Saccharomyces cerevisiae S288C: one gene and its partner. Changing the gene in region 1 together with any one later gene gives a genetic interaction. Each region holds a gene or a part of one and is shown on either strand. Other genes may lie near its edges.

Region 1 (5,308 bases):
ATTTATTACAGTTTATTGGGTCCAAGATGAGATCATTCTTTTTTTTGAAGTAGGTAGGCTGGATAGATGTAGCCGAAGGTTTGTAATCATCGTCATCATCATGATTGCGATCTTCATCATCATCAGTAGTAGGAGGGTTTTGCTGTTGTTGGTTTCCAGTAAATGGATCTTTGAATGAAGCTTGTCTTGACATTGATTGAGGTCCTAATTTTAACAACTGGCAAAGTTCAAAGGAACAAAAGTAGATGAATGAGTTCAGTAACTTAGTGGATACTGTTAAATTTGGATAGTTCCATAATAAATGAGATCTGATCTGTAGATATTTTGTCTTTGTGACGTCCCTTTGAGAATAAACGTCCAAAAGTATTGGCTGCCTCTCTGAGTCTTCGTTTTCTGAATAAACAGTGAAAAATTGCTGTTGTTTTTGCTTTTGCTGTTGCTTTTTATCGATACTACTATCTAAAGAGTTCTTATAGTAGATAGTCATTGCTAGGTTATTATCATCCCTATTCCTAAATTGATCGACCAAGACTTGTGGAGGTATATCTGTGACAAAATCACAGGGCAAGATTACAAAATCGCCATTGATTCTAGGCAAAAGCTCTTTTTGCAAGGACTCACCTGTAGAATTTGCCTTCGAAGGGATGAAATTAATTTTCTTAGGATCTTGCAAGTGATGACTGTGGTTGGAATTTGACAAAGCCTTGTATATTAGTTCAAATTGTTGCTTTCTTAGGGACAAAAACGAAGTCAGTCCACTTTCAATTAATTCGATTTCGTCAACGGGTGCGACCACACTGATTTCTTTGAAATCTGCCTGATCACACCAATCCAAGACGTATTCAATCATAGGTCTATTACCGATGGGCAAAAGAGCCTTGGGCAAGCGCGTTGAATGTTGCATGAACTCATTTATGACAGTTGAATCGAGGGCGCTATTGACCAACTCATTAAGTTTGTCACCGCTCGTGGCAGCTGTACTGTCTTTGTTCTGCGTTTGGAATGGAAAATCTGGCTGGGTGAAGGGAGCCAAATTGGAACCTTTACCGCAAAAGACAAAAGCCTGAATTGACATGACTACGACAATAGGGGGGGGAGCTATCAACGGTGGGAACTTTTGGTCAGCACAGCGTTCAGCATTTTCTGTTGCATCGTAAAGTGCTTGATTGTTATATTTCAATATAGTGATGAGAAGTGAAAAATTTTGCGATAGGCGGGTGACCTTTCAAATAGTGGAATTTGCCACCGAAGGGAAAGGAAGCTTGAAATACCATAGTGAAGTAAATTAAATCTAGTACCTCGCACCGGTTCCAAAGATAACAGACGAAGCAAAGATATTAATAACTAAGAATGAGTGAAGAACAGGACCCTTTATTAGCAGGATTGGGGGAAACGTCCGGCGACAATCACACCCAACAGTCACACGAACAACAACCAGAACAACCACAGGAAACGGAAGAACATCATGAAGAGGAGCCTTCTAGAGTGGATCCTGAACAGGAGGCCCATAACAAGGCCTTGAATCAATTCAAGAGAAAGCTGCTAGAACACAGAAGGTATGATGATCAATTGAAGCAGCGCCGTCAAAATATACGAGATCTAGAGAAGTTATATGACAAGACTGAAAACGACATAAAAGCTTTGCAAAGTATTGGACAATTGATTGGCGAAGTCATGAAGGAATTATCTGAAGAGAAATATATAGTGAAGGCCTCTTCGGGCCCACGTTATATTGTCGGAGTTAGGAATTCGGTAGATCGCTCTAAATTAAAGAAAGGGGTGAGAGTCACCTTAGATATCACCACTTTGACTATAATGAGAATTTTGCCCAGAGAGACAGATCCACTGGTGTATAATATGACCAGTTTTGAACAAGGTGAAATCACTTTTGATGGTATTGGTGGTTTGACTGAGCAAATCAGAGAATTAAGGGAGGTTATAGAATTACCATTGAAGAACCCAGAAATTTTCCAGAGGGTCGGTATCAAACCTCCAAAGGGTGTGCTACTATATGGTCCCCCTGGTACTGGTAAAACTTTACTAGCGAAGGCAGTTGCTGCTACGATTGGAGCCAACTTCATTTTCTCTCCAGCGTCTGGTATTGTGGATAAATACATTGGTGAGTCTGCTCGTATTATTAGAGAAATGTTTGCATATGCAAAGGAACACGAACCTTGCATCATTTTTATGGATGAAGTGGATGCTATTGGTGGTAGAAGATTCAGTGAAGGTACTTCAGCAGACCGTGAAATTCAACGTACGTTGATGGAGTTGTTGACCCAGATGGATGGTTTTGATAATCTTGGACAGACTAAAATCATCATGGCTACGAATAGACCAGATACTTTAGATCCTGCTTTGTTGAGGCCCGGTAGACTAGACAGGAAAGTTGAAATCCCATTGCCAAATGAGGCCGGCAGATTAGAAATTTTCAAAATTCATACTGCAAAAGTCAAAAAAACAGGGGAATTTGACTTCGAGGCTGCTGTAAAAATGAGTGATGGTTTCAATGGTGCTGATATTCGTAACTGTGCAACTGAAGCAGGTTTTTTCGCCATAAGAGATGACCGTGATCACATCAACCCTGATGATTTAATGAAAGCCGTAAGAAAAGTAGCTGAAGTTAAGAAATTGGAAGGCACTATAGAATACCAAAAATTATGATGTTAAAAAGACATGTGTATGTATAGGTATGTGTATATCAGTAACAAAAAGAAATGCGAGAAAGCTTGCCTTATTTAAGCTCGAAATGGCTATTGAACTCTAGTTCTAAATGCTTTTTCAATAAGCTAAATTTATTACTAAAATTTCGCTGACAATAGCAGCAAAGTAAATCGTGTTCTTTCAGGTACGTAGTTTCAATTTCCTTGTCAGTGCCCAAATTTTTTCCGTTCAATGGTAAATCGTCCCAACTAATGAAGAATCCAGTATTAAATGAATTATAATGTTTTTTGTTCTTCAATCTTACCGAATGGAAATCTTTGGATATGACGTGTATATGTAAGTTGGCCATCGAAGGCACGCTGTGTATCCCAACTTGTACAAAATTTCTTACAAACTTGTTTTTGTCTTTTAATATGTCATCCCAGCAGGGGTCTTTGTCATCATCACTCTTCTTTATTCGGAACTTTTCTTGAAAATGCCTAAAGATGTGGTCAATCGCAGAATTAACGTATGATTCAAACTCATTCTTAAACTTAGCATCAATCACTTTAGTAGGATGACTTCTACTCAGCTGCATAGTTCGTGGTAGAATCAATAAATGGCACTCTGATTTAGGAAACGAGTCTCTAATTATGGACACTTTATCATCAAAGTATGTGACTGTATCATCGTTTACCGTTTCTGGGCTGGTAACGTAGTTTTTTAACGCATACCTCCATGACATTTTTCAGTGTTTTGTTTTATTGTCTTCTCTTATTGTTGCCCTGCAGGATTAGATTGGCTTTTTCACTTTTAAGTGCATCCTTGGGCAAGATGTAAGTTAAAACAGAAAACGAGAGACCCACGGGAGTATACTAATATAGTTACAAATCATTTTTATAGATTAAATATATAGTCATAATTAACTATCGGTGCAAATAGCTATAAATTCGTTTTCATTAATCTCGCCATCACCATCCAAATCAAACTCTTCAATCATCGCTCTCAGCTCTTCATCCGTCAAAGTTTCTCCTAATTCTTTAGCTACACGCCTCAAGTTTTTAATACTTATTTTCCCAGTATGGTCGTCATCAAATAATTGGAATGCCCTTTTTATTTCATCTAACGGATCTCTCTTCAATATTTTTTCCCCCATTACAATATAAAAATCATCATACTTCATCAAATGCCGCCCCTCACTATCATATTCATCTATTAAGTCAAGTATTTCTCTCTTGGGTAGCTCAAATCCCAGGGCCTTCATTGCTACTTTCAACTCGTGGTAATCGAGGAACCCATCATTGTTCATATCGAACAATGAAAACGCCTCATATATTTCTTGCTTTTGCTCCTCCAATAACTCGCTATTAAGTGGACCAGACTGTAGCGATGACCTGTTCTTACTCATACTGTATGATTTATTTCCGTTTCTTCTTTGGTTCACTTCCTTTCTCGTTTAATAAATCTCTTCCATACTTACTAATTAGGATTCTTCTTTTTTTCTCTCTATTTCGCAATAGTTAAGCCTCCAAAACTCTTGGAAATTTAGTAGATAAAATTACGGCATCAGGCAAGAACTAGTTAAGCAAGTACTTCCTGCATCATTAAAGTTGTTCTTTTCCTAAACGCCTCTCAATACTAGAGAAATACATCAAGCTTTGGGTTATTTGAAATCTGTAACTAATTTGCAAACCAAGATAATACCCCCGGGTATTGAGATCAAGTAATTTTAATGAGGAGCAGTTATCAACCAGTGTCAACTACAAACTTTGAACATGAAAATGCTATACCTACTGCGTCGTCGTCCCATAATCTGTTGATGAGCCAGCGTTTTGATGATTCTCCTCCTAGTTCTAACGACAACAGTATAGAAACTAATATAACGCCTCCACCTGAACCACCTTCTTATGAATTTGATATAGAGGACCCTCACGATGATCTTCACAAAAGAACACATCTACAGAGGGTTTCAATTGGGTTTCAGGAAAAAATTTTGGAACCCTTAATGGAAAACATCATTCATCCACTCTTACAAATATCAAAATTCGTTCCAGACAAAGCTGACTATTACTTAAGTAAAATCGGAAATCCCTTTATACTTCGAAGGTTCTTTTACATCATTTTCATGTCATTTATTGCATATTATGTCTTGTCAAGTGGCTACTTATTCAACGAAAAGGCATCAGGATCTAAAGGGATGTTTTCTCAACACGATATACTTTTTGAATATGCCAAAAAATCCGTGGATTTGGCAAAGTTTGAGAGAGATTTGGAATATATTAGTAGCATGCCTCATGGATCCGGAACGAAGGGTGATGCAGCTATTTATCGATACATTCAGGAATCTTTTGACAACAATGGGTTGAAATTGGTTAAAGAAATGGGATACTCAGTTTATTCTAATTATCCAGGCAATGTATCAATTTCATATTATGATAACAAGAATGAAAAGCATGATCTAGAACTTTCTAAAGAAAATTTCAATCCGTTGAGTTCTAACGGGAAATTATCCAAAGTGAGCTTGATTTATGGAGGCAAAGGTACAACATACGATTTACAACATTTAAAAGATTCGAAAACGATAGAAGATGGGAAGGACTATGTGCTTTTACTGCAATATGATAAATTAGTGAGTCAGCAAGTACTAATTGCTGAGAAATTCGGA
Region 2 (3,934 bases), on another chromosome or scaffold:
AGGTTACTTGGAAGGTGTTAAGACTAAGCAAAAGGCTATTGTCAAGGTTACCAACATGGAATTCCAATATCCAGGTACCTCTAAGCCACAAATCACTGACATTAACTTCCAATGTTCTTTGTCTTCCAGAATTGCTGTCATTGGTCCAAATGGTGCTGGTAAGTCTACTTTGATTAACGTCTTGACTGGTGAACTATTACCAACCTCTGGTGAAGTCTACACCCACGAAAATTGTCGTATCGCTTACATTAAGCAACACGCTTTTGCTCATATCGAATCTCATTTGGACAAGACTCCATCTGAATATATCCAATGGAGATTCCAAACCGGTGAAGATAGAGAAACCATGGACAGAGCTAACAGACAAATCAACGAAAACGATGCTGAAGCTATGAACAAGATCTTCAAGATTGAAGGTACCCCTAGAAGAATTGCCGGTATCCACTCCAGAAGAAAGTTCAAGAACACTTACGAATATGAATGTTCTTTCTTATTGGGTGAAAACATTGGTATGAAATCTGAAAGATGGGTTCCAATGATGTCCGTCGACAACGCTTGGATTCCAAGAGGTGAATTGGTTGAATCTCACTCTAAGATGGTTGCTGAAGTTGATATGAAGGAAGCTTTGGCTTCTGGTCAATTCCGTCCATTAACCAGAAAAGAAATTGAAGAACATTGTTCCATGTTGGGTTTGGACCCAGAAATTGTTTCTCACTCCAGAATTAGAGGTTTGTCTGGTGGTCAAAAGGTTAAGTTGGTCTTAGCTGCCGGTACATGGCAAAGACCTCACTTGATTGTCTTAGATGAACCTACCAACTATCTGGACAGAGATTCTTTGGGTGCTTTGTCTAAGGCTTTGAAGGAATTTGAAGGTGGTGTTATTATCATTACTCACTCTGCTGAATTCACAAAGAACTTGACTGAAGAAGTCTGGGCCGTCAAGGACGGTAGAATGACTCCATCTGGTCACAACTGGGTTAGTGGTCAAGGTGCTGGTCCAAGAATCGAAAAGAAGGAAGACGAAGAAGATAAATTCGATGCTATGGGTAACAAGATTGCCGGTGGTAAGAAGAAGAAGAAGTTGTCTTCTGCGGAATTGAGAAAGAAGAAGAAGGAAAGAATGAAGAAGAAGAAGGAATTGGGTGATGCTTACGTTTCTTCTGACGAAGAATTCTAATCTTTTTGATCACTGCTTTCACAGTTTTCTTTAAGATTTTTATTGATCAATAATTTATGTATATTTTAATTTCTATGTTTTTGTAATATTGTTTATTTTGGTAAAATATAGACGCAACTTCCTTATTATAAAGAAAGGCATTATTTAAAAGAAAAAGCGTTCCATTAGTCAGACATCTTTTTTTTTCATACATTCTTAAGCTCAGGCAAATTGAGCATTGCCTCATACCCTTTTCGGTAAGAGGGTAACGAAAATATTTTTTTGGAAGAATAAAAATAGGTGACGGATCATAGACTAGGAAGCTTTAAAACATGATTGAGCGTAATATTATATTCCTTCTAGAAAAGATAAAAGAGCCAAGACCTAAAATTTTTTCATCCCTGTTCTATTAAAATTGTGGAAATGAGGTTTTTGAGGGGATTTGTATTTTCTTTGGCTTTCACTCTATATAAAGTAACTGCCACGGCAGAAATAGGATCTGAAATTAATGTGGAAAATGAGGCACCACCTGATGGTTTATCCTGGGAGGAGTGGCATATGGACCATGAGCATCAGCTAAAAGATTACACTCCAGAGACTTTCTTCGCGTTACATGATATCAAGAAGAAAGGATTTTTAGATGAAAACGATATTCTATCTCTCTACGGGTTGAACCGTGAAGAAATTGTGGGGGCTGGTGATGGTATGGGACAACACGATGAATCTGAGAAAATTGACAATGAAATGGCTAAGCGTGTTGTTAGCCTTATTATGAGGTTATTGGATGTTGATGATAATACCAAAATCACCAAGGAGGAATATCTACAATTTGCTAAGAGAGGAAACAAGTTCCCTGACCTTGGCGTTGGTGTAGGTCACCACTCCGATTTTGAGCTAGAATATGAAATTCATCACTGGAATAAGTTTCATAAGGACAAAGATCCAGACGTTAAAGTCGTTCACAAAGAAGACATAGAACATGAATTGCTTCATCATGAACATGAAATTGAACATGAAGAAGAAATTCAAAGAGGCGCTTCTAGAGCTACTGTAATAACTGATGACGAACTAGAGTCTAGAATAGAGCTGAAAAATATTCCCGAGAAATTCAAAAATGGAATTTTTTAATGGACTTGGTCAAGATGAATAGTTGAGACTGAGAAAATATTCAAGACACTATGTATGTAGTCAATTAGCATGTAGTAAGTAATCAAAGCACTTAAAATATATTTTTACCATCGCATCGTTGTGATGCCTCTCCTTTGTGATTAACTATCTACTTTAAACGTTCTATTTTCTATGTTCTAATTACGTATGTATTGGTCTTTTCTCTCCGATGGTAACAAGAAGCGTTTCGGGAAACAGTGGCACCTCCTTGTCCCTTAAATGTCGAACTTTAACAGTATAAGTACAAAGTGAAAAAAAAAAAAAAATGGAAATATCTATGATAGTGATATGATAGAAGAGCTATTTGAATGCTATGTTGTCATATTTAGCCTTACAAAAGGGAAAAGGCAAACACAGTCTTTTGTTATTACTATAGGAAAGATAGAATTGATATTAAAACAGTATGAAGTTATTGCATTTATATGAAGCGAGCTTGAAGAGAAGGCCCAAAACTACGAATGCGATAATGACAGGTGCGCTATTTGGAATTGGTGATGTTTCTGCTCAATTGTTGTTTCCAACATCCAAAGTAAACAAGGGTTATGATTATAAAAGGACAGCTAGGGCTGTCATCTATGGTTCTTTAATTTTCTCCTTTATAGGTGACAAGTGGTACAAGATCTTGAACAACAAGATTTATATGCGTAACAGACCTCAGTACCACTGGTCTAATATGGTTTTACGGGTAGCTGTCGATCAATTGGCGTTTGCGCCGCTAGGTTTGCCATTTTATTTCACCTGTATGTCCATCATGGAAGGTAGATCATTTGACGTAGCTAAGTTGAAAATAAAAGAGCAATGGTGGCCTACACTTTTGACTAATTGGGCAGTTTGGCCACTTTTCCAAGCGATTAACTTTTCTGTTGTTCCTTTACAACATAGGTTACTAGCTGTTAATGTCGTTGCAATATTTTGGAACACTTACTTATCTTATAAAAACTCAAAGGTTATGGAGAAAGACAAGGTACCTGTTCATTATCCACCCGTGGTCGAATAACTGGATAAGAAATCCTGATTTTGAAAATATTTGGAATTCAACTAGCATATTTATCAGACCTTGTTCCTTGGGGTACTGGAACAGCATATACCTAATAGACTTTCGGCAGAGAGCAGACCAACTTCATAAATATTTGAGTCACCAAAGTTGGCTAGCAATCTGCTTTTCCTTTACAGATGTGCTTGGTCAGGAACAATTTATTTAATTACATTCGTACTTCTTTTATAGAGGAAATAGTAGCTAACATTTCACTATTGCGGTCATGCCTGTTGTTCTTCAGCTACCGTTTATGCAAAGGTGTTTAATTAGGTGTGAGACTTAAGTGGGCCTTTTAGTACCACTGTGGGTTCTGGACCTTTATATAATATTTCATTTTTTCAAAGGTTTTTTCATATGCCGTTAAAAGAGGTCAAAACATAGACCCGAGGAACATATCTTGTAAATCGCTGCGTTATGTATGCATATTGTACTCCTACCTTCGTAACTGGAAAGAATCAGTCTGAAAGTTTATTGAGCCTGAAACGGAGCAAGATTATAGTTGAATGTTTCTTATTCGGTGTTGATAGTAGATGATGACCAAAGCTTTTTTTAACAAACTACCGTTTGAGGTATTC

The links. Genes that interact genetically often act in the same process or in processes that back each other up.
Region 2: mutations in HNT3 (region 1) and SSP120 impair growth when combined (synthetic growth defect), as found in Saccharomyces cerevisiae (one large-scale study listed by BioGRID).

The regions. Positions count from the first base shown.
Region 1 is NC_001147.6:809,751-815,058, reverse strand, and holds HNT3 (DNA 5'-adenosine monophosphate hydrolase), read right to left. Parts: upstream 3,389-5,308; coding exon 2,735-3,388; downstream 1-2,734. Other genes in the region: GCD1 (translation initiation factor eIF2B subunit gamma), read right to left, coding at 1-1,075; proteasome regulatory particle base subunit RPT4, read left to right, coding at 1,351-2,664; CDC31 (centrin), read right to left, coding at 3,566-4,051; TRE2 (putative zinc metalloprotease), read left to right, coding at 4,376-5,308. UniProt on the Saccharomyces cerevisiae protein: DNA-binding protein involved in single-strand DNA break repair, double-strand DNA break repair and base excision repair.
Region 2 is NC_001144.5:638,738-642,671, forward strand, and holds SSP120 (nucleobindin SSP120), read left to right. Parts: upstream 1-1,579; coding exon 1,580-2,284; downstream 2,285-3,934. Other genes in the region: YEF3 (translation elongation factor EF-3), read left to right, coding at 1-1,177; SYM1 (ethanol metabolism protein), read left to right, coding at 2,727-3,320; CQD2 (Cqd2p), read left to right, coding at 3,890-3,934.